Linked DNA regions of Macaca fascicularis. The protein of the gene in region 2 purifies or fractionates together with the protein of the main gene of each other region. This does not show direct contact. Links are inferred from orthologs where the notes say so. Each region holds a gene or a part of one and is shown on either strand. Other genes may lie near its edges. The genes, in order: FOXJ2, MAGEA10, FAM216A, QSER1 and KAT2A.

Region 1 (6,427 bases), on a different chromosome or scaffold from region 2:
AAAAAAAAAAAAAAAAAAAGTAAAACAACTTCACTCACTACCTTTCAGAGATAAATATAATTATTCTCGTAAATGCTAAATAGTACTCTGTTGTACAGATGTGCCATAATATATTTAAAATCACCCCATTTTGGATATTTAGGTCTTTTCTAATTTTCCAGTTACAAAAAATACTGCAGAAAATGTCTTGTAAAAACCAAATAATTTCTTGAGCTTTTTATTTTTCCAAATTGCAGAAAGATTCTAATCTTTCCCTTATGTTTCCATTTTTAGTATTTCTGCCTGTCACTCAAGCAATTTGCATACATAGGAAATGTCAAAAACGGTTGAAACATAACAAAACATCCAACATGTAGCAAGAAAGATTTGCCGCCAAATTATCTGCGTGTGGGAGAATCATTTAATGCCTCAAAGAGGGGAAAAAATAAATCTTTAAACCTGAATATAGGAAGTGTGAGGAGGAGGAAAAGGCTTGGTTTGGTTTACTGCCTTTAATTTTGAGGATGACTTTAAATTCTGATGGCTCCGAACAATGGTATAGAGGTTAAGAGCTGGGCATTGGAGTCATTTGGATTTAAGTACTGACTTTGCTACTTACTAATTAAGTGAACTCACACATAGTATCTGGAAGTCACAATTTTCTCATCTGTAAAATAAGTATAATAATAGTGTTTTAGGAAATTGCTGGAATCATCAATGTGATAACGCACGCAGAATGATCAGTGCAATGCCTGGCATATTATAAATATCATTATTAATATATACATATAACTTAAGTATGCGGTCTTTGGCGGGCAATTCAAATATTTTGCAAGTAATATTTTTGTATTCTTATTATCTTTTTTTTTTTTTTTGAGACGGTGTCTCACTCTGTCTCCCAGGCTGGAGTGCAGTGGCAAGATCTCAGCTCACTGCAACCTCCGCTTCCCGGTTTCAAGTGATTCTCCTGCCTCGGCCTCCCGAGTGGCTGGGATTGCAGGCACGCGCCACCATGCCCGGCTAATTCCTTTTTTTTTTTTTTTTTGAGACGGAATCTGGCTCCGTCTCCCAGGCTGGAGTGCAGTATCGCGGTCTCGGCTCACTGCAACCTCCGCTTCCCGGGTTCAAGCGATTCTCCTGCCTCAGCCGGGACTACAGGCGTCCGCCACCACGCTTGGCTAATTTTTGTATTTTTGGTAGAGACGAGGGTTTCACCATATTGACCAGGCTGGTCTAGAACTCCTGACCTTGTAATCCGCCCGCCTTGGCCTCCCAAAGTGCTGGGATTACAGTCATGAGCCGCCGCGCCCGGCCTTCGGCTAATTTTTGTATTTTTAGTAGAGACAGGGGTTTCACCACGTTGGCCAGGCTGGTCTCCAGTTCTTGACTTCAAGTGATCCCCTGGCCTGGGCCTCCCAAAGTGTTGGAATTACAGGCGTGAGCCACCGCGCCGGGTCTCCTATTATTTTATGTGATATAAAGTAGAGAGCAGGCCGGGGCCGTGTTTCCTGCCTGTAATCCCAGCACTTTGGAGGCCTAAAACGGTAGAATAGTTTAAACCCAGGAATTAAAGACCAGCCTGGGCAGTATACTGAGACCCCGTCTGTATTTAAAAAAAAAAAAAAAAAAAAAAAAAAAAGAAAGGAAAGAAAGTAGGGTAGTTTGACAAAAGTTTAAAAAGCCAGGGTATGGGCCAGGCGCAGTGACTCACGCCCGTAATCCCAGCACTTTGGGAGCCCGAGGCGAACGGATCACGAGGTCAGGAGTTCGAGACCAGCCAGGCCAACATGGAGAAACCCCATCTCTACTAAAAATACAAAAATTAGCTGGGCGTGGTGGCGCGCGCCTGTAATCTCAGCTACTCCAGAGGCTGAGGCAGGAGAATCACTTGAACCCAGGAGGCGTAGGATGCAGTGGGCCGAGATAGCGCCATTGCACGCGGGATCGCGCCATTGCACTCCAGCCTGGGCAATAAGAGTTAAACTCCGTCTCAAATAAAAAAAAAAAAAAAGCCAGAGTATGAAATATATAAGAATTTGCAGCAGAATAATGTGACTCCAGGATGTGACAGCTGTAAAGGGTAAGCAGGCCGAATATCAAGTTCCCTTCTTCGCTGAGCAAGATTGCAGAGAACAAGGGCCATGCACAAGTTTACGAAGCTGGAACAAGGTACAGGACCCAGATCTTCTGATGTTTATTTCACCGTTACACGCTCATTTATCATGTATCCACTCATTCAAGGAGCATTTACTAAATTCCAGGATGATATAAGGGTAACATATAAACTTCACCCCAATCTTCAACTCAATGCTCATGATCCTTTATAAATTATCTCGAGGGAAAGAGAAGCCCATCAAAGACAGTCCTGAGAAAGCTGGGGCTGTTCATCTGTATTCGGAGTTTAACAATGAAACGCCGGGGTCGGGGTGTCGGCTGGAATTGATGGTGTACGGTGCGCACGAGGGAATCTCCCGACGGGGAGCAGTGAGTTGTCATCCCGGGTAGACAGCGAGCTCCCGGAGCCACGCGGCCGCAGCGGGGCTAGGGCTGCGAGACCCCTCGCCGGCATGAGCGCAGCCGTGGCTTTCCAGGCGGAGTGCACACCGGACGGCGCGGCTCGCGGCTCGCGGCTCGGCGCCGCCCGGCTCCTCCTTAACCCGCGCCGGGAGGCGGTGGCGGCGGCGGCCGGCGGGCGGGGGAGGGGGAGGGGCTCGGAGCGCGGCGCGGAGGCCGGGGAGGAGCCGGGGCCTGCAGCGGAGCCGAGCCGAGCCCGAGCCCGCGCCGAGCCCTGACACTGTCCGTCCGCCTTCTGGCTCCCCGGGAGCCCGGACTGGCCGGAGCCCGAGCGGTGGCAGCGCTGGGAGCCCCAAGCACCGAAGGGAGCGGACCGGACAGGACGGCCCTAGAGGAGGTGCTGCCGCCACAGTAGCAGGGACCGGAGTCTCCAGCCGCGGCCTCCCGGACCGTGCTGCCCAGGCCAGCTCAGGGAGAGCCGGGAGTACGAAAGCCCCACCCTCTGGGGCACCCCGGGAGCGGAGGCGGGAGCGGGGACGCGAGCAACCTCTCCCCCTGTTGGAGAGAAAAGACCCTTACCACTCGGGTGAGGGAAAGAAGAGACCCGTGGGGGGACGCCGCTCTTCTGCCTAGAGGCGAGGAAGACCCCTGTACTGGCCGGGGAGGAGACCCCCAGAAGTGGAAAGAGGGGAGCTTTCCGCAGAGAAGCAGAGTGAGACCACCCTAGCGCGCCCCCGCCCCTCCAAACACACAATCTCAACAGTTCAGGACTTTGGAGGCAAAGAGAGAGAGGGCTCTGCCTATGGAGTAGCACCCTCGGCCCACCAATATTCACAGGGGACAGGAGTCCTTACGTTCAGAAGCCACTCCAGGGAAAGAAGAGGAATCGGCTTTCAGCCTTCTGGAGAGGGGAGGCCTCCCCCTCAACTTCCTCGTGCCTAGACAGTGGAACGGGGTAGAGCCCCTCCGCTCAGATCTCCAGCAGACAGAAAGAGCCCTCCAACTCAGAAAGATCCAGTTTGGGGGGGAGGGGAACTCCCCCAAGGGGGAGGAGACAACTCCTGGTTGGGAGAGGCTCCTCCCCTCCTCCCCAGGGTAACAAGCAGGGTGTGGGGGGTGTGCCACCTTCCCCAAGTAGGACCTCCTTCTCCTCCCCCTCCCCCTCCTCCTCCCTTGGCTCCTCATCCTCAGGGGACCAAGTTCCCCTCACCAACTTGGGAGGCTCAGCCAAGTACAGGAAGAGCCACTGAGGATGAGCGCCGTCACCTGTCTCTGAAGAGGGGAATCCCTCCAGCCCCAAACTCCAGTACCAAGTGCTTCCCTCCCTTTGCCAGGGGAACCTTGGAGACAGGTTAGTGCTTTCTTTCATCTTCTCTCTGTCATCGTCTGGCACTAGTGGGTGTACGGGGTTGAGCTGGTGGATCGTGGGTTTCACTACCGGGGAAGACAAGAGTGATGACTCAGAAAATCCAGTGGGAAATGTGATCCAAGGGCCTCCTGGATTTGAACTCACATCTTGCGGCAGAAGCTCGGAGAAATGGGTTTCTTAGTGTTTGGGGACTAAAGGGATGGGATTCATTTTAGGTCCCTTAGGGAAGTGGATGTTTTCATGCTGAGGAAAAGGGATATCGGAAAACGGCTGCGTTTTGAGAACGTGCATGCTGTGTACACAACCCAACCAGTGGTAAGACTCCCAGACCGCCCTTCACGTTGGGCCTTTGCACCTGGAGAGCGGGTTCTCATGAAAATCACGGTGGCATCTGGTGTCCTGGCCTTGCCCAGGGCACGCCGAGGTCAGCTTAGTGTTCACCAGAGGTGTTCCCTCCAGCTTACTGCAATTACTGCTCCCTTGACAAGAAAAGCAGTCTGTTCCTGCTCATCCTATCTCAGACACCAAGAGGCCTCCTCTCCTGACATTTCCATTGCTAGCTGGATGTATGCCTCTGCCCATAAAATCCAAAGGGAAAATGGGAATCCCACATGTTCTGAGGCGAGAAGAAAGTGTGCAGGGGAATGCCAGCTCCTGGGTTGAAGTGCTTCCTTGATGCTGGCCCTGTACCACTGCCCCAGTCTCCTTCTCAGCTCCTGTTTTTTGCTCACAATTCTTCAGGAAAAATTAGATCCTGGATACGAAGGGAGGAGGGCTGCTGCTCCACTTCTCTCCAGATTTCCATCTAAACAAGTTGACCACTGGAGAAATTTCACTTTTGAGGAGTATATAAAGTTTCCTTCCAGAAAAGTACCTAATAGTCTCATCCTCTCCCTTCCTGTTTCTTGTTCAGTTCTGAGTTCCCGGAACCTTGTGTTAAAGTTTTCCTTCATAAGCTAGGGAATTATCAAAGTCCAGAATCTTCAGAAAAGGCAGGAAAAGGGTACCAGGAAATCCTCCCCTGAAGCCTGGGCTGTTTTTAGGAGAGATCACTAGCTGGGTGTCTGCTTTCCTGCCTCGCCATGAGCAGATACCTTATCTTCTGTCTCACAGCAAGGACAAGTTGTGAAGGAGGCTTCATCTGACTTGGCCTTTCATATTTCCTCCTCTTTCTGGGGCATGGGTGAGTTCTACCTAAGTTCCTGAGCACATTCACTTGTCCTGGAAGCTACTGGTGGTATATGAGATAGGGCACAGGTTTGCGTGGCTGTGCTGTAGGACAACATGCATATACTTCTTAATTCAGGTGAGTGTGGCTCTCTCTGTTTCCAGTGGGTAAGTGTGTGGAGACAGGTGCTTACTGTGCTTTTCAGACTATACTCCAGTTACCTAGAATTGTGTGTTTCTGGTGGGCCTCTAGAAGCAGGTGCCCCTGTACACGGACATGGAGAGGTGGTAAGGATGCCCACCTGAGGGGAAAGGCTTGGCCTCCCCCAGCCAGTGGGAGCCCTCATGACAGTCTACAGGACAGTCCTTTAAGCAGCAGGGCAGCCCAGTCTCAGGTTGGGATCATTTCTTCTAGGACTAATAAGAGAGCTTCATTGCTGATACTGCTGCTTGCAAAAGGATGAGGATCCTTGACTCCTAACTCCGGAGCTCCCTCCCCTACCTTTTACAAAAGAGGCCACTCTGGTTAACAGCAGCCTGTTTCTTATAAAGTACTTCACCACCTGCCTGAATGGCTCAGGGTGAACTATATCACAACACCTCCAAGTCCGCCACCGCCACACAGTTTAACTGGTCCTGTTTGGACTGAGTTCCCTAACCCTCCTTGCCTCTCTGGAATCAGTTAGAAGTAGGTGGCTACTGAGTGGGATTAACTGTGGTTTAGAGAGTACTTTCCCAGACCATGTCTTAGGACTACACTTAGTTCTCCCTGGAAGATAAGAGATGATAGTCCCTCATTCCTTCATCCCTGGAGTCTTCCTGATCCTCGCATTATCTAGTACTGGGTGGTTATCTCCAAAGGAAAAGTTTGAGATTCCGACATCCTGAAAAGCATTGCAGACTCAGTGCAGGCTTTGTGATGCAAACCACTGCAGGCTTGCTGCTTCCACTCCCATCTAGAGTCTGTCAGTTTGCTAATTTTTAATTTCTAATATTCTCATTTTTCCCCATTCAAAAACAATAGCTACATTTATTTAGCACTTACAGAGTGCTCTGAAAATATGAACTCAAGGTAATCCTTACAACAATCAAACTAGTGGAGCTGGGGATTGAAACTCAGGCAGCTTGACCAGGCGCGGTGGCTCACGCCTGTAATCCCAGCACTTTGGGAGGCCGAGGCGGGCAGATCATCTGAGGTCAGGAGTTTGAGACCAGCCTGGCCAACATGGTGAAACCCCGTCTCTACGAAAAATACAAAAATTAGCCGGGCGTGGTGGCAGGCGCCTTAATCCCAGCTACTTGGGAGGCAGAGGCAGGAGAATCGTTTGAACCCGGGAGGCTGAGGTTGCAGTGAGCTGAGATAAAGCCATTGCACTCAACCTGGGGGACAAGAGCGAG
Region 2 (6,136 bases):
CAGGACGCTTAGAGAGGGCTCTGCCCCTGATATCAGCCCTGGGAAGCCCCGGTCATGGCGACCAGGAATGCAAATTCTGACGTCGGTATCTGGGGCTGACGGAGGGAAAGGGATATTGGTACCAAGAATGTGGCTTCAGGGGAGCAGAGGGTGGGCCCAGACCCTGCTGGGAAATGAGGGAGTCATGAAGGGATCCCAGGACAGGGTGCCCACCCCACCCCTGTCTCAGACTGAGATGCCTCCTCACTTGGCCTCAGGAATCCAAGGGATGGTGACTCAGGTCAGCGGCGGGGGGGCGGGGTAGAGGAGAGCAACCCTGCCAAGAGCCAAGGGGAGGAAGAAGAGAGAGGACTCAAGGGACCTTGGAGTCCAGATCAGTGGGGACCTCAGCCCTGGGCGGTTTCAAGCACGGTGGCCCATGTGATGTGTCTTTGCTGTGCCTTTGGGGTGTCAATGAGGAGAGGGCTACAGTCTGAGGAATGAAGCCTCAGGTCATCAGAGGGAGGAGTCCCAGAGCCCTGAGGGAGGACTCAGCAGATCCCCGCATCTCAGAACTAGGAAATCTGTCCCTCCTATCAGCTCTGGAACCTCAGGCAGGACTCTGAGGAAGGGAAGTGGCCCCCACTTTCTCACTGGGGATCCCAGGGACATGGTAGCCTTGGCGTACAAGACTCATACACGGTTCAGCAGGAGGGAAAGGGCTGGGCCCTGTCGGGAGTAAATCTGAATTTATTTGGGAGGACACCCAAATAAAGAAAGTCTCCATCCCGTCCCCCTCCCCTCTCCACTCCCCCCCGCCAAATCTCCTCCTTCTGTCAGCTTTGGGAATCCCATGCAGGTGTCAACGTGTGGTGCCCCTCCTCCATTTCTGCCTCCCGGGTCTCAGGGTGATGAGGACCTTGGTCTGAGGGTTGCTGAGAAGTTATCACAAGGTTCCACACTTGGTCAACAGAAGGAGGAGTTCCAGAATCTGCAGGACCCAAGGTGTGCCCCTTAGTGAGGACTGGAGGTACCTGCAGCCCAGAAAGAAGGGATGCCACAGAGTCTGGCTGTCCCCTATTCTTAGCTCTGAGGGGACCTGATCAGGATTGACACTAAGTGGCAAGCTCAATTTTGCCACAGGCAGGAAGTTGAGGAACCCTCAGGGAAATGGAGTCTTGGTGTAAAGGGGAGATATCCGCCCTGGACACCCCACAGGGGTGACAGGATGTGGCTCCTTCTTATTTTTGTTTTGGAATCTCAGGGAGGTGAGAACCTTGCTCTCAGAGGGTGACTGAAGTCAACACAGGGAGCCCCTCTTTTCTACAGACACAGTGAGTCGCAGGATCTGACAAGAGTCCAGGTAAGGAACCTGAGGGAAATTTGAGGATATCCCCAGCCCATAACACAGATAGGGGCCCCACAGAAATCTGCCATGACCCTACTGTCACTCTGGAGAACCTAGTCAGGGCAGTCTGCTGAGGCACCCTGTCTTATACAAGGATCACTGGTCTCTGGGAGGGGGAGGTGTTGGTCTAAGGGAGCTGCACTCGGGTCAGCAGAGGGAGGGTCCCAGACCCTGCCAGGAGTCAAGGTGAGTACTGAGGGGACACCATTCTCCAAACGCACAGGACTCAGCCCCACCCTGCCCCTCCGTCAGCCACGGGAATTCACAGGGAACTGTGGGTAGATGGACTCCCCTCACTTCCTCTTTCCATGTCTCCTGGAGATAGGGCCTTGGTTTAAGGAAGTGGCCTCAGGTCCACAAAGGGAGGGTCCCAGGTCCTATCAGGCATCAAGATGAAGACCAAGCAGGCTCCTAACCCCAGGACACATGGACCCAGCTGAATATGGCCACCTTTTGCTGTCTTTTCTGGGAGGACCTCCGCAGTTGTGACCAGATGTGGGTCCCCTCATGTCTTCTATTTTGTATTAGGATGTAAACTTTTGATCTGAGAGTTTCTTAGACCAGCAAAGGGGCAGGGTCCAGGCTTCTCCAGGAGAAAGGTGAGAGCCCCTGTATGAGCACAGAGGGGACTACCCACCCCAGAGTAGTGCGGAACTCACAGAGTCCAGCCCACCCTCCTGACAACACTGGGAGGCTGGGGCTGTGCTTGCAGCCTGAACTCTGAGGGTCCCTCAGTTCCTCTTCCAGGAGCTCCAGAGACTGTGAGGTGAGGCCTTGGTCTAAGGCGGTGTTTTCAGGTCACAGAGCAGAGAGGGCCCAGACAGTGCCAGGAGTCAAGGTGAGGTGCATGCCCTGAATGTGTACCAAGGGCCCCACCTGCTCCAGAACAAAGTGGACCCCACTGCATCAACTCCAGCTACCCTACTGTCTGTCCTGGAGCCTTGGCCTCTGCTGGCTGCATCCTGAGGGAGCCATCTCTCACTTCCTTCCTCAGGTTATCAGGGGACAGGGAGACCAAGAGGTCAAGAGCTGTGGGACACCACAGAGCAGCACTGAAAGAGAAGACCTGTAAGTTGGCCTTTGTTAGAACCTCCAGAGTGTGGTTCTCAGCTGTGGCCACTTACACCCTCTCTCTCTCCCCAGGCCTGTGGGTCCCCATCGCTCAACTCCTGCCCACTCTCCCACCTGCTACCCTGATCAGAGTCATCATGCCTCGAGCTCCAAAGCGTCAGCGCTGCATGCCTGAAGAAGACCTTCAATCCCAAAGTGAGACACAGGGCCTCGAGGGTGCACAGGCTCCCCCAGCTGTGGAGGAGGATGCTTCATCATCCACTTCCACCAGCTCCTCTTTTCCATCCTCTTTTCCCTCCTCCTCCTCTTCCTCCTCCTCCTCCTCCTGCTATCCTCTAATACCAAGCACCCCAGAAGAGGTTTCTGCTGATGAAGGGACACCAAATCCTCCCCAGAGTGCTCAGATAGCCTGCTCCTCTCCCTCAGTCATTGCCTCCCTTCCATTAGACCAATCTGATGAGGGCTTCGGCAGCCAAAAGGAGGAGAGTCCAAGCACCCTACAGGCCCTGCCAGACAATGAGTCTTTACCCAGAAGTGAGATAGATGAAAAGGTGACTGATTTGGTGGAGTTCCTGCTCTCCAAGTATCAAACGAAGGAGCCGATCACAAAGGCAGAAATACTGGAGAGTGTCATAAAAAATTATGAAGAACACTTCCCCGTGGTGTTCAGTGAAGCCTCCGAGTGCATGCTGCTGGTCTTTGGCATTGATGTAAAAGAACTGGACCCCACTGGCCACTCCTTTGTCCTTGTCACCTCCCTGGGCCTCACCTATGATGGGATGCTGAGTGATGTCCAGAGCATGCCCAAGACTGGCATTCTCATACTTATCCTAAGCATAATCTTCATAGAGGGCTACTGCACCCCTGAGGAGGTCATCTGGGAAGCACTGAATATGATGGGACTGTATGATGGGATGGAGCACTTCATTTATGGGGAGCCCAGGAAGCTGCTCACCCAAGATTGGGTGCAGGAAAACTACCTGGAATACCGGCAGGTGCCTGGCAGTGATCCTGCACGGTATGAGTTCCTGTGGGGTCCAAGGGCCCATGCTGAAATTAGGAAGATGAGTCTCCTGAAATTTTTGGCCAAGGTAAATGGGAGTGATCCCAGATCCTTCCCACTGTGGTATGAGGAGGCTTTGAAAGATGAGGAAGAGAGAGCCCAAGCTAGAATTGCCACCACAGATGATACTACTGCCATGGCCAGTGCAAGTTCTAGTACTACAGGCAGCTTCTCCTACCCTGAATAAAGTAAGACAGATTCTTCACTGTGTTTTAAAAGGCACGTCAAATACCACATGATCTCACTCATATGTGGAATAAAAAAAAAAAAGTTGATATCGTGGAAGTAGAGAGTAGAACAGTAGTTACCAGAGATTGGGGAGAGGAAGGAGAAGAGGGGCTTGGAAGCAGTTAGCCAACATGGAAAATTACATTTAAACAGGAGGAATAAATTCTAGTGTTCTGTTGCGCAGTAGGATGACTATAGTTAACATTAAGATATTGTATATTACAAAATAGCTAAAAGGAAGGCTTTTCAATATTGTCACCACAAAGAAGTGATAAACGCATGAGGTGATGGATACACTACCTGATTTGATCATTATACTACATATACATGAATCAGAACATCAAATTTTACCTCATAAATATCTACAATTGCATGTCAGTTTTTTGTTTTTGTTTTTTTTAATTTACGAAAACAAATGACAAGAGAAATCAATGAAGTATGTAGTGGAGGGCCAGGCTGAGGCTGAGGAAAATACAGTGCATAACATCTTTGTCTTACTGTTCTCTTTGGATAACTTGAGAACTTCTTTTCTTTTCTTCTTGGTATTTCTTCTTCTTCCGCTTCCTCTTCCTCCTTCTCTTCTCTCTTCCCTTCTCTTCTCTTCTCTTCTCTTCTCTTCTCTTCTCTTCTCTTCTCTCTTCTCTCTTCTCTCTTCTCTCTCCTTCTCCTTCTTCTTTTTTTTCTTTTTTTTTTTTTTTAACAGAGTCTCACTCTATTGCCCCGGCAGGAGTGCCCGGGCAGTCTAAGCTCACTGCAACTTCCGCCTCCTGGGTCCTGGGTTCAAGCGATTCTCCTGCCTCAGTCTCCTGAGTAGCTGGGATTACAGGTGCATGCCACCATACCTGGCTACTTTTTGTATTTTTTAGTAGAGATGAGGTTTCACCATGTTGGCCAGGCTGGTCTCGAACTCCTGACCTCAGGTAATTCGTCCGCCTCAGCCTCCCAAAATGCTGGGATAACAGGTGTAAGCCACTGCACCCAGCCTCTTCTTGGTATTTTAAAATGTTGTTACTTTTACTAGAGAGTTTATGAGCTTCAGAATCTAAGGTCACACATTTATTTCTGTTTATCCAGTTTAAGAAAGAGTTTTGCTATTCTTTAAACAAATTGGGAACCCTTCGATCTTATTTGTAATCTGTAATAAAATAACATGGAACTAGAATAGTAATTTTCTTGGACATATAAAAAATAGTAAAATAGAGAAAATAATGTTAAGTGTTAGTATTTTTATTTGTTTATTATTTTTATTTTATCGTCCTGCAAAGTTAAAAGTTATATCCCTGGATCTTTGTTAAGTCGAAATTAAACTGTAATAAATGAAACCTTTGCTCACTGGTTCATTTTTTTCCCCAAACATCCACTGAGCATCTGGTCTTTGGAAGGCCCTGGGTCTGTAGTGGAAATGTTAAATCAGAACCACCTTTACCCATAGGGTGGTAGAGTCTAGGGGCTACAGTCAAGTAATAAGGTGGTGAGATATCCTCTAAGACCTAGAGGAAAAGTAAGACAGGGATGAGAATATTGGGCTGTAGGTGACAGTGGTCACGTACATCTCCTGAGCCAGGACTTTTGGGGCTTTGAGAAACTGCAGTTCCTTCTGGTGAAGATGAATCCAAAGAAGCTGGGTGGTGCCAGGGTCAGAGCCTCACATAGTTGAGAGAGAAAATCCTGGGATGTAAAACTGCTCTGAGCAGTTCCTTTTGGGTGGTGGATGAACAGAGAAGAGTCCACCTGGGGCAGGAATGGAAGGTGTTCTGCACTCTTGTCTCAGTGCAGTTGAACATAGCACAATAACTAGGTGATAGATGCTCATCTTATGCAAGGGTCTCCTGAGAGATAAGGATCTCATAATAAATAAGCCTATGAATTGATGCCTAGAAGTTAGCTGACTCCATTAGAGAAACATTTTAATTGGGTCATTTTTTATGTAATTTGTACAACACTAAGCAAGGGCTAGAATTTGGTGACGAAATGAATGAAAATCATGATTTGGATGGAAAAGAACCTTGGAGAGAGGGAAGGAGTTGATACTTGAATCATATTCCATGAGCTTTGAGCAGCATCCAGCAGGGAGAAACTCCTGCACATGAAATTTTGAAAATACATCCTCTTAAGAGGGAAAATTTACAGAGTTTTATTTATGAAGCAACATTTGTGACTGATTTGGGATTCCATGTCCCATTGAGCTGCATATTCTGAGATGTACTGGATAATAATGACAACAAAAAATGCTGAGTAGACTGTGGTGGGATTTGAGGTCAAATAATATTAGAAATAACAGCCATCTGCCATTCATTAAACTTCTAAATATGCCAGGCCCTAAGCCAGGTGCTTCACTTATATTGCTCATACTCCAGTAGTCCTATTGGACAGGGCTTATCACACCT
Region 3 (4,745 bases), on a different chromosome or scaffold from region 2:
GTGGAATTATAAAAATTTAATCATCAGATAGAGTTATGGATGACTCCCCTTTTCAATGTGATTCCCACTCAACCTCAAAATAATGCAAATACTTTTAAAAGGAGAAGCATATGGTTGGTTTTGCACAGGGGAATACTATATAACAGGGAGAGAAAGAAGATTAAGAAGCATGAGTATTGAAATTGCACTGCAGCAGCTTTACATGTCAGGGTTAAGAAATTACAGGATAATTTGGGTGCTGAAAGGGTTTGTTTTGGTGATGTTGGCAGTTAATAAAATGAATTTGTGTGGTCTTCCACATGCCCTAGGCAGCTGTTCACTTTGCTGGCTTCAACTAAGATACTTCCCTTTCTTATAGGATAAAAACTGGATATGCATCTAAAACAAGATGTAAGTCACTGAAGATTTTTAGAAGACCAAGGAAACTGTTCATGCAAACAGGTAAATGTGGAAATTTAACAATATGCATTTTTTAAGATCTTATGGGCCGGGCGCAGTGGCTCAAGCCTGTAATCCCAGCACTTTGGGAGGCCGAGACGGGCGGATCACGAGGTCAGGAGATTGAGACCATCCTGGCTAACACGGTGAAACCCCGTCTCTACTAAAAAATACAAAAAAAAAAACTAGCCGGACGAGGTGGCGGGTGCCTGTAGTCCCAGCTACTCGGGAGGCTGAGGCAGGAGAATGGCATAAACCCGGGAGGCGGAGCTTGCAGTGAGCTGAGATCCGGCCACTGCACTCCAGCCTGGACCACAAAGCGAGACTCCGTCTCAAAAAAAAAAAAAAAAAAAGATCTTATGCTTAAAAATACTATACCAAATACAATTTCATTTCTATTATGAAGATATTAACAAATTTAGAATATGATTTGCTTTTATTGTCACAAATAAAAAACCAAACATAAAATATAGTTTACACTTGCAATTAAAAGAACATACTGGGCTGGGCGCCACGGCTCACGCCTGTAATCCCAGCACTTCGGGAGGCCGAGGCAGGCAGATCACCTGAGGTTAGGAGTTCGAGACCCGCCTGGCCTGGCGAAATTCCCATCTCTACTAAAAATACAAAACTTAGCTGGACGTGATGGCAGGCGCCTGTAATCCCAGCTACTCAGGAGACTGAGGCAGGAGAATCGCTTGAACCTGGGAGGCAGAGGTGGGAGTAAGCCGAGATGGTGCCATTGCACTCCAGCCTTGGTGACACAGTGAGACACCATCTCAAAAAAAAAAAGAAAAAAAGAACATACTGCTCAAAGGAGTAAGATTCAAGGTATTTCTAATGCTAAAGATATTTACAATGTCAAGGTCAGAGACTTAGTAGAGAATGAATTTGTCAGAACCCAGAACCACAAACATGACTTTCTCAAGCAATAGCACTTCTTTTATGAGTTAGTGCTATTTTTTGATGAACAGCATATTTTGTATAGCATCTATTAGTTTACAAAGGGCTATATCTCTTATAGTAGGCCCTTCTTATCCATGGGGAATATGTTCCAAGACCCCCAGTGGATGGCTAAAATCTTGGATACTACTGAACCCTATATATACTTTGTTATTTCCTGTAAATACATATCTCTGATAAAGTTTTAATAGGCATATAGATTAACAACAATAAATAGAACAATTTTATACCAATATACTGTAATAAAAGTTATGTGAATGTGGTCTCTCTCAAAATATCTTATACTGTACCTTGGAAAGCAAAACTGTGGATAAGGAGGGACTTCTGTATACCATTTTGTTTGATATTCAACAAAACAGTGGAGGCAAGCCAAGCAGGTGATATTATCAAAATTTTACAGCTGCAACTCAAACAAATCCAGACTTTGGAAGGATCAGCATAAAAGATCCTTCTACCACAAGAACAAAATACTGCAAAATGAAAAAGGGAAGACAGACTGAATGATCAGAAGTGTTCCTAAGAACTAATAATGTTAAACCATGTTAAGTAGTTTCCTAGTTATCAGCATAGTGAAGTAGGGAGGTGGGTAAGAAGTAGGGAAGTTGGCCAGGCACAGTGGCTCACGCCTGTAATCTCAGCACTTGGGAGTCCAAGGCCGGCAGATCACCTGAGGTCAGGAGTTCGAGACCAACCTGACCAACATGGAGAAACCCCATCTCTACTAAAAACACAAAATTAGCCGGGCGTGGTAGCACATGCCTGTAATCCCAGCTACTCAGGAGGCTGAGGCAGGAGAATGGCATGAACCCGGGAGGCGGAGCTTACAGTGAGCTGAGATTGCGCCACTGCACTCCAGTCTCCAAAAAAAACCCCAAAAAACAACAAAACAGAAGTAGGGAAGTTAGGCCTTCTGAATTGATATCCTATCACTGTATGAGTGTTAGCCAGCTCTGCTGTAAATATCGTACCATGCCTATCCAAGAAATGAGGGAAAGGGCAGGTTCCAAAAGGAACAGTTAGTGGAAACTGTAGGGGGAAAGTCCCTGTGGTCCCCAGCGCAAGAGAAAATGCGGAGATTCTGAAGATGTAACTGACCACTTTAATTTCCCCCAACCAAAAGATTTTGAAAATCAATGCTAATATAGGACTTAGTAACAAGAGAATTTGCTGTACAGTAACTTGGTTAGAATACAGTACTGTGCATCTTAAAGAGTAAGAAACTTGGGGGAAGGGTGAGGTGACTAAAAGCCTTGAAAATTTCAGTCAATTTGTCTTTACTACAGGCTTATTAATAAGCCACGTCATTTTGAAAGTTGTACTTAGAGCTTTATTTCCAAAACAGAAAATTGTACATTCTTATTTTTCCTTCAGTTTCTTCAAATGATTCTGAATCATACATGAGTGAAGAAAAAAAGGAAGAAGATTTACTAAATAAGTTTATGCAATCAATGTCAATTGAAGAACAGGGAGAACATCTGATGTTAACTTGACAGTCTTGTCTTGTGTATTGAATTCGTACCAAAGGTGAGGGTAAGGGGTTGTGGGTTGTGTCCTGTATGTTTAGGATGGTATTGTTATTCATTAAATCATTAAGTAATTTTGGTTTGTTCAGAAACTTAAAACAATGTAATTGGTCTGATGTAGTTCCATGTACCAATGATATTTATGTAAGAAAATTTACATGTAACATATACTTGTACTTCTAGCTAGATACAATTAAAATTTTTCTTGCATTCAATATTGAATTACTTTTCTTTAAATCTGACAAATGCATCATATTTCTCTGTTCACAGTCCTAAAACAGCAATATTAGAATATCCTACAAGGGCCAGGTGTGGTGGCTCATGCCTGTAATCCCAGCACTCTGGGAGGCTGAGGCGGGTGGATCATGAGGTCAGAAGTTTGAGACCAGTCTGGCCAACATGGTGAAACCCCGTCTCTACTGAAAATACAAAAATTAGCTGGGCATGGTGGTGCGTGTCTATAGTCCCAGCTACTTGGGAGGTTGAGGCAGAAGAATTAGAATTGCTTGAACCCAGAGGCGGAGGCTGCAGTGAACTGAGATCACACCACTGCACTCCAGCCTGGCAACAGAGTGAGACTCCGTCTCAAAAAAAAAAAGAAAAAATAGAATATCCTACCAGTATTTTCTTGATTGGGCTAAGGAAAGCTCTGAAATATCCAGATACAGAACAGCATTTGACAGAGATAATGCTCTGACTTGCAAAGTAGGTGCTCAATAAATATTTGCTATTTGAATACAACTTTAAAATGTAAATACACATTTTCCCTATCTTATGAAATTGCCACATAAATAACTTGGACTCTCAGACTAGATTAAGTTGGGAGTAGTTACACTAACTTCTTTACATTATATATTACTCTAGTGTGCTTCCTTGCTAAACTTGTATATATATATATATATTTTTTTTTTTTTTTGAGACGGAGTTACGCTGTTGTTGACCAGGCTGGAGTGCAATGGTGTGATCTCGGCTCACTGCAGCCTCCACCTCCAGGATTCAAGTGATTCTTTTTTTTTTTTTTTTTTTTTTTTTTTTTGAGACGGAGTGTCGCTCTGTCGCCCAGGCTGGAGTGCAGTGGCGCGATCTCGGCTCACTGCAAGCTCCGCCTCCCGGGTTCACGCCATTCTCCTGCCTCAGCCTCCTGAGTAGCTGGGACTACAGGCGCCCGCCACCTCGCCCGGCTAGTTTTTTGTACTTTTTAGTAGAGACGGGGTTTCACCGGGTTAGCCAGGATGGTCTTGATCTTCTAACCTCGTGATCCACCCGTCTCGGCCTCCCAAAGTGCTGGGATTACAGGCTTGAGCCACCGCGCCCGGCCAGGATTCAAGTGATTCTACTGCCTCAGCCTCCCGAGTAGCTGGGATTACAGGCATGTACCACCATGCCTGGCTAATTCTGTATTTTTTGTATAGACAGGATTTCACCATGTTGGCCAGGCTGGTCTCGAGCTCCTGACCTCAGGTGATCCACCTGCCTCAGCCTCCCAAAGTGCTGGGATTAGGGTGTGAGCCACTGTGCCCGGCCCCTAAACTTGTATTGTTAAAACTTTTATTAAACCTTGAAAAATGGAAATAAGAACAGTTTGAAGAATCACTGTTAATTTAATGTCAATATGGTATATTATTTAGCAAATAAAATCTGAGTCCAACATTATGACACAATATAAGAGAAGAGCTCTGAAAGGTCATCTCGTCCACTTCACTTTAATATTTATATGCGTAGTTTCACTTGGTTCCTCATTTTTATGTTTTTTAAAATTAAATACAGGTTATCAAGAAAGTATAAATGAAAGGTAATTGTTTATTACTAGAGAAGAAAAAA
Region 4 (5,639 bases), on a different chromosome or scaffold from region 2:
TTCAGTGAGCCAATATCACACCACTGTACTCCAGCCTGGGTGACAGAGCAAGACTCTGTCTCTTAAAATAATAAAAAAAGAAAAAATGTTTGTAATGAGTAGTCAGTTACAGTAGTCCACATGACAAATGATAGCTTTTTTCAGATGAGGCAACAGGGATGGTGATAAGAGAACTTCGAAGACATAATAGTAAGGATTGGGTTGACAGTGATGATTTTAACTAAAAATGAGATAACATATGTCTGGAAGAAACTAGTTTTAGACTCATGTTTTAGAACCGAGATTACAAAAGGTTTATTCTGGGAATGTAAGAGGGAATAGAATAGTGATTGCAAAGCACTCTGAATTGGGGGAGACGTTATAAAACCGTACTAGGATTAGACATGGTAGTAATGTCTTTGAATCTAAGACTGACTTTCTATCATGTTAATTTCCCTGTGTAATGAAATGAGAATTCTTTAGAAATGTATTATCAGATATTTATGCTAACAGATTATTTGGATACCAGTTGTCACGTAACACTTTAGAAGTTAAAGGTAGTCAAGTCCAGAGAGAAGCTGGGAAGTATGTTACAAAACAAAGTTTAAGTCTTCAAGCACCACCCTATTTATCCTAAAGAGCTGAGAAAGAATGTGGGCTCTAGAACCAGACAAACCTGGGTTCAGATTCCAGCTCTGTCACTTACTAGGGGTATGGGCCCACATAATTCATTTATTCTCAGTTATATCATCTGTATATTGGAGATAACAATGTGTATCTCACAACATTGCTACTAGTTCCTGGCACAGAGGTGGCAGTTGTATTATTGTTACAAATAAATTTTTCCTTGGCATGTTTCTTACAATAGAAAATTCCATACTTACTGCCAATTGTTTATATAAAGTCAATGCTTCTTAAAATATTTCCTCTAAAGCTCCCTTAGCCACAGAGTCAAGTGAAACACATACCCAAAGATTTGGGTATATAATCTGGAGCCAGCACAAAATTTTTAAATTTTATCTTAATTATTATACGCATGCTGCATATAACCATATTTAATGGTTCAGATTTTAACTCTGTAACATCCCTGTTGTCTCATCTGTCTCATTTGTCACTTGGACTACTGCAACATATTTAAACATAACCATATTTAATACTAAAATGTTAATCTTCAGATAAAATTGGCAAACTAAGAAAATGTATCAGGTTTATACTACAGCAATACCCACGATACAGTGCCTCAATTACCTCACAATGTCTCAGATTAGAGAAATCTGGATGGCACACTGTACAGATTATGCTGCCTTTGGCAAAAAGCCAAGAAAAATCAGAACTACTTAACCTAAAACCCAGACCTTTCCTATAGGCAAGAAAATTTTTTTTAAAAAGTCCTTAAGATACCTACCTATACATTTTGTCCTGAAAATATACTTGCAGACCTGCTTTAAGTGAAAAAAGCTTAAATGTGAGCTATAGCCCGAAAAAGAAGAAAGTAATAATTATGAATCTAAATTTTAAAACTTTACCTGTTTTCTTCTTTTTATCAGAAGTAGCATCCAAAGTAGTTAAGGGAGTAGAGATGCTTTTATAAGCATCTTGACTACATCCAGGATCATCTTCATCAGAAGAAAATGAAGATAAATGTTCCAAGTTTTTAAGTTCATTATCAACTTTATCTGATGGACTGTTACCGCCAGTTTCAGACACTGAAGGTGTGGGTGTTGTAGATGAAGGCTTGGGAAGTGGTGGGGGACAAAATGTACGAACCATCTGGGTCCCTGGCCGTCTAGTCCTGTTAGGCATTCGTACAGCAAGAGTGGAAAACTGCTGCTTGGGCCCAGATTTCAGGAAATCTAAGAAAGACGCAATAAATCCTGTTTTGACTTCTGGTTGTTTCTCCTCCACCTCTTTGATCTTCTGTCTCATTTTTTCTTGATGCTGATAACCATCATGGCAGCTTTCTGAGGAAGGAGGAGTATATGGTAAGTATATATCTGTTCCCCTTGGATTCTGGCGTTTGCCTTGGGCAGGTCTTTTCAGCTGTTTCTGATTACTATTGTCTTCCTCTTTAACTTGCCCTTTTCCTTTAGTTCTTTTCTTTTGAAGGTTAAAATGCATTAAATCTTGGTTTTCTTCTTCAATCTTGACACTGACTGCATCCCCAGATTGGGCCATGGCCAACAGTGCAAGTGCACTCCTAGCTGGGTTCATTGACACACCACTGTCCTCACCCCCTAAGGTAAATTCACTCTCTGATGTAGCACTCTCTCCACTTATACTTCTACTACTAGAAACAAACTCTTGGTTTCTGTTATTATTTAATGTACTATCAACAGGAATTTCACTGTCTTCTTCAGATTCAAGATTGGTAGCAGACTGTTTCTTGAATGGGCCAGAACTTTGCTCCTGGACTTCATGACTTGGTCCAACCGCTGCTGAAGTTACTTTAGTTGGTATATTTTGACCAGGTGTTTCAATGTGCTGTTGATCAAGAGTCATTTTTGTCTGAAGGGCAGGTACTGGTGAAAGGTTCACAGTAACCTGATTTCCATTTAAGGAAGTATCATTTATATTCTGTGGCTTTCCTACTGTAGCTGTCATAGAGTTAAAATCTGAAGTCACATGCCTGACATCTAACGACTGCTGAAAATGAGATTTAGAATCACCATCTTCAACAGCCTGCATGGTTTCATTTGAAGTTGACTTGGAAAATTCAGAAGGTGTAACTCCACAAGCTGCTGCTGTAGCTGCTAAGATATCATCTACATTTGATAAAATATTTCTTTCATCACTAAGAAGCACTGCCTCTGGGAAACACATCGATCCAAGAGAAACAAACTGATTCTTTGAGTCATGTTGATTTGTTTCACTAAAATGGCCCTTTGTTGTTAGATGTTGTTGTAACGGTTTTGAAGACTCAGAGAGGTCCATTTTCATAACTTCAGAATTTTGAGGATGGAGTTGCTGCTGAGAATGATCACCATTGCTTTGAATAACATGACCTTCCATCTGAAGGAAAGGATGTACTATTTGTTGAGGGCTTTGAACACGCTGTGCTTGTAAAGATGCCTTTACTTGACCTAAACCTGCCTGCAGTATTGACTGCTGAAGAATCTGTAAATCACAGGCAGAATCTAAAAGGACCTGTGTATTAGGAAGAGATGCCTGATGGCCATGCCCTAAAGCATGATTTGGAATTTGAATCTGAGATGAAGCATTAATTATTTGATTGTGCTGTTCCTGGACCTTGGATTCATGCACCTTAAGTACAAGAGGATGCTGCTGCTTTAAGTCTTTAGTATTCAACCTTATTTGTGGAGTCTGTATTAAATTAGTTGCATTCTTAAGATCAAGGGTAGCTGCATTACTGACTTGGCCAATTTGTTGGTTAAGCTGTGTCACTGAACTAACAACGCTTTCTTCTTTCTTTGACGCTTGTAGAGCAACCCCAATAACTTGATCTTCAAGACGGGAATTACTTCTGATTACACTCTGAGAATATCTGTCATCTGCCTTTGACACCTTATAAGTTGATTCTTGAGCATTAATTTCCCCATCAGATAGCCTTTGGGTTGACGACTCAAGAGATGCTTGTGGCTGCAATACCTGTAACTCTTGCATTGGAAAACCATCTTCTTGCTTTGAAGATGTATACACATCTGAGTCAAGCTTTCTTTCAGCATAAGACTTTGGGTCAGGGGAGGTTATGTTATTTTGTAATGTCTGACAATGAGTAGAGGATGCAAAAGATGATGACTGGACACCAGGCAAAAACTTCTGGGACTGGGGAGATGATGACTCTTGAGTCTGAACATTTTGAGAAGAATGCATAGAAATATAATTCTGGGTCGGGCTAGAGTCTGGCAAATTCTGAGCCCGAGAGGCAGAAGAATAAGAAAGAGAAGGGGCTGTTAATGTTAGGGACTCCCCTGAAGCATAGCTTTCTGAAGGACTAACAACTGACAAAACTTGTGATTGAGATGAATAGCTAACCTGTGTCTGGCTAACTGGTGATAAACCCTGAGAATGACCAGATGAGTAACTTTGAGACTGACTGACTGAAGACAGATCTCTTGTTTGAGCAGGGTAATTCTCATTTGTAACTGAAGACAATACCTCTTGCTGATTAGATGAATAACTAAGCGTCTGATTTTCAGGAGTTATAGTCTGAGATGACCCAGAAAAAGTCAATGTTTTATACAAGGGTGGCAATTTTTCAACCTTGCTGGACCTATAAACCTGTGAATGAACAATAGATGGCACATTATGTGGCTGTACTAAACCATAATTTTGGGACTGACTGACTGATAAAAGGCTTGGTAGCTGCGCAGTAGAATAAATTTGTGCTTGGCCCGATATTACAGAACTCTGGTTATGTAAAGGTTTGGAATAGCTTAGTGTTTGCACAGGAGGAATTATACTTTGAGGTTTAGGGGTCTTGGTTGATGTTAGTGGTTGTTCTGTAGAACAGCTTTTTACTTTTGTAGTAGAAGGAGGATACCCTGATGATGGAATTGCAGATGAGTAAGACTGAGCAAGTTCCACTGAGACCTGGGAGGTCTTCTGTTGTAATCCTCCATTGCTCACCTGAGTGGAATCTCCAATTGGGCTACAGGATAAAGACTGCCTGGTTGTTTCCTGAAAATTAACTACACTTGAATTTGATAGATAACTATGTAAGGAGTGCTGTGAACCAGTCAGTTGTGCCTGAATTGACTGGGTACCTGAAGGCCGCTGATGGTGTTTGATAACACTACATTCTCGAAGAAGAGCTCTTTCAATGGAAGCAGTAGAACTAGTAAAGAGAGTTGAACTGTAGGCTTGAGGAGTCTGCTGGGCTCCCCCAAGTGCTGAAGGCAACAAACTAAATTGAGGTTGTAAAAGATGGGGTGCAGACTCTTGAGCTGAGCGGTATGTTGAAGACTGAGGTGGTATGCTGTTACTTAATACAGAACTGCCCAGGCGCTCAAATGCCAAAGCAGTTGGAACAGTTCCCTGGGAAGTCTTGATTTGTAGCAAAGGGTCATGATGACTTAAAATTCCATTTGATGTAGTGTTAAAAGTTGAATCCTGAAGCACCAAAGGTGAAGTGGTAGCAAAGTTTCTATTGCTGAAGGTGGTGGGATGTTGATAAGCAGAGAGAGATGGTGGAAGTGTTCCAGTGCTTGGCAAAGGTCCAGTAGCAAACAGCTCAGTTGCTGCTGAAGAATGCATGCCTATAAAGAAAAGGCACAAAGATTTTTATGTAATTATGATAACAATTACTTTAATATATGTTTTCATAGTAGTGACTTACATAACCCATTAAAATGTCTTAAGACTGAAAAACTTGACCAGTAAGTTCTACATGTAAATTTTGAAATTACATTTCAAAATAGCTAGCTTCCCACTCCCATCCTCTTTTTTTTTTTTTCTTAAGAGACAAGGTCTTCACGGTGAAACCCCATCTCTACTAAAATATACAAAAACTAGCCAGGCGAGGTGGCGGGCGCCTGTAGTCCCAGTTACTCGGGAGGCTGAGGCAAGAGAATGGCGTAAACCCGGGAGGCGGAGCTTGCAGTGAGCTGAGATCTGGCCACTGCACTCCAGCCTGGGCGACAGAGCGAGACTCCGTCTCAAAAAAAAAAGAAAAAAAAGAGACAAGGTCTTACTCTGTTGCC
Region 5 (5,470 bases), on a different chromosome or scaffold from region 2:
CCTGGGGTTGATGGAAGTACCCCAGATGCATATCCTTTTCCTCCTGGCCATGGCCCTCACCAGTGAGCTCCACGTGCTCCTCCTCCTCGGGGCTGGTCAGTGCCATCTGCAGAAGCTCTGCTGTGCAGATGAGCAGGTCATGGCACCGGGCCAGGTGGCCAAAGCCAGCACGTGGCCCCATGTCCCCACTCAGTGTTGTCACGGTCCAGCGTCCATCCAGCATGCGCCTGAACTCTTCACCGTGCTGGGTCACCAGGTGCACCTGGAGATGGAGAATGAGCTGGGAAGAGAAAGCTGAATCTGGGGCCAGGGAAGTGCGGGGGAGGTAAGGTGACCCGCAGGGCATGGCTGGGTACTGAGCCGGGGTGGAAAGACAGGTGAGCTTAGGGATGGCCACAGCAGCTTTGGAGTTCTGGCGGGGACTGAGAGATGCCTGAAGAGCTGAGACCCTGCTTGGTGGTGGGGGAGTGGGGCAGGGACAGACCACTCACCCTGTTGACCAATACAACCACCTTGGCGCCATCCACAGTCTCTAGGTGCCGCTTGGCCACATAAGCAGCCGCCCGGGTCTTCCCAGCCCCCGTGGGCAGCCAGATGATGATATTTTTGCCCTCCAGGGCAGGCATGATCACCTCCCACTGGTAGGGCCGCAGCTCCATTCTGGGAATAGCAGGGGACTCAGACCCACCGGCCCCTCCACCCCTCCCAACTCCTGGCCAGACCAGTTCGTGCAGAGACCTCCCTTTGCCCAGGACTCCACCCCACTTGAAGGAGGTGGGGCAGGACTCCCTCAGAACCCATCAGGACTCTGCTCTGCCCAAAAGCGGGAGGCGGGAGTAACACAGGCTACACCTGCCCCCTGCCCAGCCCAGGTCTCACCTGCTCTAGTCGGTAGGTCTGCCCAGGGCAGTCCCACTTAATTCAGCCTAGTGCTACTGTGCTCAGCTCAGAGACCCGAAATGGAAACTGAAACTGAGGGAAGGAGCCAGCTGAGCCGACTTAGGAATCTCCCATCCCCGCCCCGGGAAAAAGAACCAATAAAAAAGAACCGTTTGTGCTAACAGTCATCGCCAACTGCCGCGAGTACAAACTCCGGGACGAGTACTGCCGCTGCGCCAGCGCCGTGGCAGGCATGATCACCTCCCATTGGTAGGGCCACAGCTCCATTCTGGGAATGGCCGGGGACTCAGACCCACTGGCCCCTCCATTCATCCCAACTCCTGGCCAGACTGGTCGGTACAGAGACCTCCCTTTGCCCAGGACTCCACCACACTTGAGGGAGGTGGGGGAGGACACCCTCAAAACCCTTCAGGAGACTGCTCTGGCCAAAAGGTGGGGGTGGGAGTAACACAGGCTACACCTGCCCCCTGCCCAGCCCAGGTCTCACCTGCACCACCAGGTAGGCCTGCCCAGGGCGGCCCTGTTTAGCTCAGCCTGGTGCCGCTGTGCTCAGCGCAGACAGCAGAAATCGGAAATGGAAACTGAAACTGAGGGGAGGAGCCAGCTGAGCCGATTTAGGAATCTCCCATCCCTGCCCGAGAAAAAGCCCCATGTGTGCTAACAGGGAAGCACTCTTTCACTGCTACGGGATCCTCTATGCTTTGGCCCTTTTGCGGTCAGTTGTAACCACGTCCACCCAAGTTAAGGTTAAGTCAGGAGGTTCTGACCCCTGCTGCCCTGGCATCTGGATCAGGAGCAGCCTGGAGGAGGGAAGAGGTGGGGGGCTGCAGCCAGGTAGGTCTGCCCGACTAGAGCAGGTGAGACCTGGGCTGCGCAGGGGGCAAGTGTAGCACAGGACCAGGTCTGAGGCTTGCTGGGGAGAGCAGCCTCCAGTTTGCAAGAGGTCCCTGGGGGGCCAAGGTGAGCCTGCTAAGGCTGGGACTATACCAAAGAAACAATCACACAGAGAAATAAAAAGCTTTATTGTTCCCTCTAAGGGATTAATGCCAGGGAATGAATGGTCCCCATATCCCCACCCCGGGGGAGACTGACAGTACAGTACCGGACAAGGCATGGCCCCCTCCAGTTTGGACTGAACTTCCAATCCCTGAAGCCATCACTCAAGCTAAAATGAGCAGTCCTGGTCCTCAGGGAAATAGCCACCTGGGAATCCAAGCCTCCAAAGCTGTTAGGGACCAGGTCTGGGGGCCACCACGGCTGGGCAAGGTTCATCCCGTCCCACCAGCCACTCTAGAGGGACTGGGCCCCAACCCAGGAAACCTCTCACACACAGTGAAGGCTGGGACAGAGCTGCAGGCTTGGGGGTGCCTGAAGGTCCAGAAAGGGATGCAGGATCAGGGGCCGGAGGGCCCTTGGCTAGAGTGTCTCAAGCTGAGTTGGGTCCGTGGGGCCAGGGCATCCCCTAAGGATCAGATCAGAATCCGAGGTGGAGACATTCAAGGTCAGGGCTGTGGCCCAAAGCTGGGCCTACTTGTCAATGAGCCCTCCTTCCTTGAGCTTGAAGTAGAAGAACTTCTCCAGGGCGCTGGCGCAGCGGCAGTACTCGCTGTCCGGGGGGTTGTACTCACGGCAGTTGGCGATGACCCGCTGCAGGTCGGCCACAAAGAGCTTCCGGGTCACATAGTAGCGGCTTCGCAGCCGCTCAGTCATGGTCTTCAGGTCTGGGGCAGCAGGAGGCGGAGCACAGCTTTAAGAGGCTGAGGACCACGGCAGGGCTGTCCACCGGGGTGGGCCCCATGGGGCTGCAGGGCGCAGTGAGGGCAGGAGCAGGTATGGGGATGGAAGAGGGGGGAAGGAGATGGAATGGAGGGTCCTCACCAATGGGGAAGCGGATGACCTCGTAGTAGTCAGGGGCCTCCGACTTCTTCACAGGCTCCATGAAGGGCCAGGCACTGGGGTGCGACTGGAGAGAAGAGCCGAGCTGGGGACAGCCCTGCTGCACCCACGCCAGCCCGAGAACGCCACCCACCTCACACTGCATCAAGAGGCCACAGCCATTGGTGCAGGGGCCCCGGAAAGGCAACCTGGTCTCCCCACCTTGATTTGGGCCAGCAGGTTTTTGAGGGTTGTGTAGAGCTGGTCGGGGTCCTTCAGCTCCTTCCTGGGGCGAGACACACCAAGTCTGAGGCTCCGAGTCCCTCTGCCCCGCCCCCAACCTGGCTCCTTTGACAAAACACTCACCCCTTCTCCTTCCCCAATGGCTTCCAGCCCGTCTCTCCTGCAAAGTGGGAAGTGGGAGAATGTCTCTAAGAATGCCGATCCGCATCCCAAGCAGCGTGCCCCCACTACCCCGCAACCGAGACCTCTGCTTACGAATGCCAGGGACACTCTCCACAGGGATCTGCCTCACTCCCTCCTTGAAGCAGCTGAGCCCCGGGTAGACCTTGCGGATCTGGGCCTGTTTGCGCTCAATCAGCTTCTTGATGATCTGAGGGAAGGAAGGGTCTAAGGGGCCAGCTCCAGCCCCAGCAACAACCCCTCCCAGGGCCACAGTCAGAGCCACCAGCTGCACCCACCCAGATGCAATGCCACCTAATCCAGCACCTCCCTTCATACCTTCCCCAAGGGAGCAGAGCAAGAACCAAGATCCTGGCCTGTCCCCTCCTCACTCACACACATACACGCATGTACACGTAGTACAGGTCTACACACGTGCGCTCGCCCTCCGCATGCACATTCATGAAAACTCCCACAGATGCGCACGTGCGCACACCACCTCTTTCTGCTTCTTGATGATGTGGGACAGCTCTGTGTAGGGGATGCGGGGATTCAGCTCACACTCCATCAGTGTCGCTCCCTCGTAGTCCTTGATGTAGCCCAGGTATCGGCTTTTGGGCACCTTGATGTCCTTGGAGAAACCCTGGGGGGTGGATGGTCATGACCCAGTCCATCCATATTTCCCAACTTCTGTAGTCCCTCCCCTGGGAGCACCAGAGGGGTGGCACGTGCCATGTGACACCTCCTGCTCCTGAACCTCCTCCTGGGGCACTGAGGGTTTGAACTGTCCCTGGAAAGGTCCCAGGTCAGCTGCCCACTCCTGACTCATCCCGAAGAGCCCCCCAGTTCCTTCAGGCTGCTCTACTGGCCCCCCAGTTCCTCCAGGCTGCTCTACTGGCCCCCCAGTTCCTCCAGCCTGCTCTACTGGCTCCCCAGTTCCTCTGGCCTTCTCTACTGGCCCCCCAGTTCCTCCAGCTTGCTCTACTGGCCCCCCAGTTCCTCCAGCTTGCTCTACTGGTCCCCCCAGTTCCTCCAGGCTGCTCTACTGGCCCCCCAGTTCCTCCAGGCCACTCTACTGGCCCCCCAGTTCCTCCAGCCTGCTCTACTGGCCCCCAGTTCCTCCGGCCTTCTCTACTGGCCCCCCAGTTCCTCCAGCCTGCTCTACTGGCCCCCCAGTTCCTCCAGGCTGCTCTACTGGCCCCCCAGTTCCTCCGGCCTGCTCTGACTCCCCAGTTCCTCTGGCCTTCTCTACTGGCCCCCCAGTTCCTCCAGCCTGCTCTACTGGCCCCCCAATTCCTCCAGCCTGCTCTACTGGCCCCCCAGTTCCTCCAGCCTGCTCTACTGGCCCCCAGTTCCTCCGGCCTTCTCTACTGGCCCCCCCAGTTCCTCCAGGCTGCTCTACTGGCCCCCCAGTTCCTCCAGGCTGCTCTACTGGCCCCCCAGTTCCTCCAGGCTGCTCTACTGGCCCCCCAGTTCCTCCGGCCTGCTCTACTGGCCCCCCAGTTCCTCCGGCCTGCTCTACTGGCCCCCCAGTTCCTCCGGCCTGCTCTACTGGCTCCCCAGTTCCTCCGGCCTTCTCTACTGGCCCCCCAGTTCCTCCAGCCTGCTCTACTGGCCCCCCAGTTCCTCCAGGCTGCTCTACTGGCCCCCCAGTTCCTCCAGCCTGCTCTGACTCCCCAGTTCCTCTGGCCTTCTCTACTGGCCCCCCAGTTCCTCCAGCCTGCTCTACTGGCCCCCCCAGTTCTTCCAGCCTGCTCTGGCTCCCCAGTTCCTCTGGCCTTCTCTACTGGCCCCCCAGTTCTTCCAGCCTGCTCTACTGGCCCCCCAGTTCCTCCAGCCTGCTCTACTGGCCCCCCCAGTTCCTCCAGGCTGCTCTACTGGTCCCCCAGTTCCTCCAGGCTGCTCTACCGGCCCCCCAGTTCCTCCGGCCTGCTCTACCGGCCCCCCAGTTCCTCCGGCCTGCTCTACCGGCCCCCCAGTTCCTCCGGCCTGCTCTACTGGCCCCCCAGTTCCTCCAGCCTGCTCTACTGGCCCCCCAGTTCCTCCAGCCTGCTCTACTGGCCCCCAGTTCCTCCGGCCTTCTCTACTGGTCCCCCAGTTCCTCCAGGCTGCTCTACTGGCCCCCCAATTCCTCCAGCCTGCTCTACTGGCCCCCCAGTTCCTCCAGCCTGCTCTACTGGCCCCATAGGCCCCCATTCTCCCCTGGGGCAGTGGCAGCAGAGGAAAGAAGATAGGCATGGAGACTTTCCTGGCAGGTGTCAGGTGAAGTAGGGGACATAAAGGGACTCCTACT

Evidence for each region.
Region 1: the proteins of MAGEA10 (region 2) and FOXJ2 purify together in Homo sapiens (affinity purification with mass spectrometry; 3 studies listed by BioGRID and IntAct, counting the BioPlex papers as one, with this or other methods). This does not show direct contact. The link is inferred for Macaca fascicularis from reciprocal best matches to the Homo sapiens genes MAGEA10 and FOXJ2.
Region 3: the proteins of MAGEA10 (region 2) and FAM216A purify together in Homo sapiens (affinity purification with mass spectrometry; 3 studies listed by BioGRID and IntAct, counting the BioPlex papers as one, with this or other methods). This does not show direct contact. The link is inferred for Macaca fascicularis from reciprocal best matches to the Homo sapiens genes MAGEA10 and FAM216A.
Region 4: the proteins of MAGEA10 (region 2) and QSER1 purify together in Homo sapiens (affinity purification with mass spectrometry; 3 studies listed by BioGRID and IntAct, counting the BioPlex papers as one, with this or other methods). This does not show direct contact. The link is inferred for Macaca fascicularis from reciprocal best matches to the Homo sapiens genes MAGEA10 and QSER1.
Region 5: the proteins of MAGEA10 (region 2) and KAT2A purify together in Homo sapiens (affinity purification with mass spectrometry; 3 studies listed by BioGRID and IntAct, counting the BioPlex papers as one, with this or other methods). This does not show direct contact. The link is inferred for Macaca fascicularis from reciprocal best matches to the Homo sapiens genes MAGEA10 and KAT2A.

What each region holds. Positions count from the first base shown.
Region 1 is NC_088385.1:12,675,069-12,681,495, reverse strand, and holds the start of FOXJ2 (forkhead box protein J2), read left to right. Parts: upstream 1-2,711; 5' UTR 2,712-3,844; intron 3,845-4,077; 5' UTR 4,078-4,177; intron 4,178-6,427.
Region 2 is NC_088395.1:158,207,543-158,213,678, reverse strand, and holds MAGEA10 (melanoma-associated antigen 10), read left to right. Parts: upstream 1-2,536; 5' UTR 2,537-2,595; coding exon 2,596-3,708; 3' UTR 3,709-5,003; downstream 5,004-6,136. UniProt on the Homo sapiens protein: Not known, though may play a role in embryonal development and tumor transformation or aspects of tumor progression.
Region 3 is NC_088385.1:117,362,796-117,367,540, forward strand, and holds the end of FAM216A (protein FAM216A), read left to right. Parts: intron 1-358; coding exon 359-441; intron 442-2,772; coding exon 2,773-2,891; 3' UTR 2,892-3,139; downstream 3,140-4,745.
Region 4 is NC_088388.1:32,649,876-32,655,514, forward strand, and holds part of QSER1 (glutamine and serine-rich protein 1), read right to left. Parts: intron 5,196-5,639; coding exon 1,506-5,195; intron 1-1,505. UniProt on the Homo sapiens protein: Plays an essential role in the protection and maintenance of transcriptional and developmental programs.
Region 5 is NC_088390.1:63,155,366-63,160,835, forward strand, and holds the end of KAT2A (histone acetyltransferase KAT2A), read right to left. Parts: intron 3,821-5,470; coding exon 3,677-3,820; intron 3,389-3,676; coding exon 3,274-3,388; intron 3,179-3,273; coding exon 3,142-3,178; intron 3,062-3,141; coding exon 2,998-3,061; intron 2,864-2,997; coding exon 2,779-2,863; intron 2,622-2,778; coding exon 2,428-2,621; 3' UTR 1,906-2,427; downstream 1-1,905. Other genes in the region: ATP-dependent RNA helicase DHX58, read right to left, coding at 61-262, 492-659. UniProt on the Homo sapiens protein: Protein lysine acyltransferase that can act as a acetyltransferase, glutaryltransferase, succinyltransferase or malonyltransferase, depending on the context.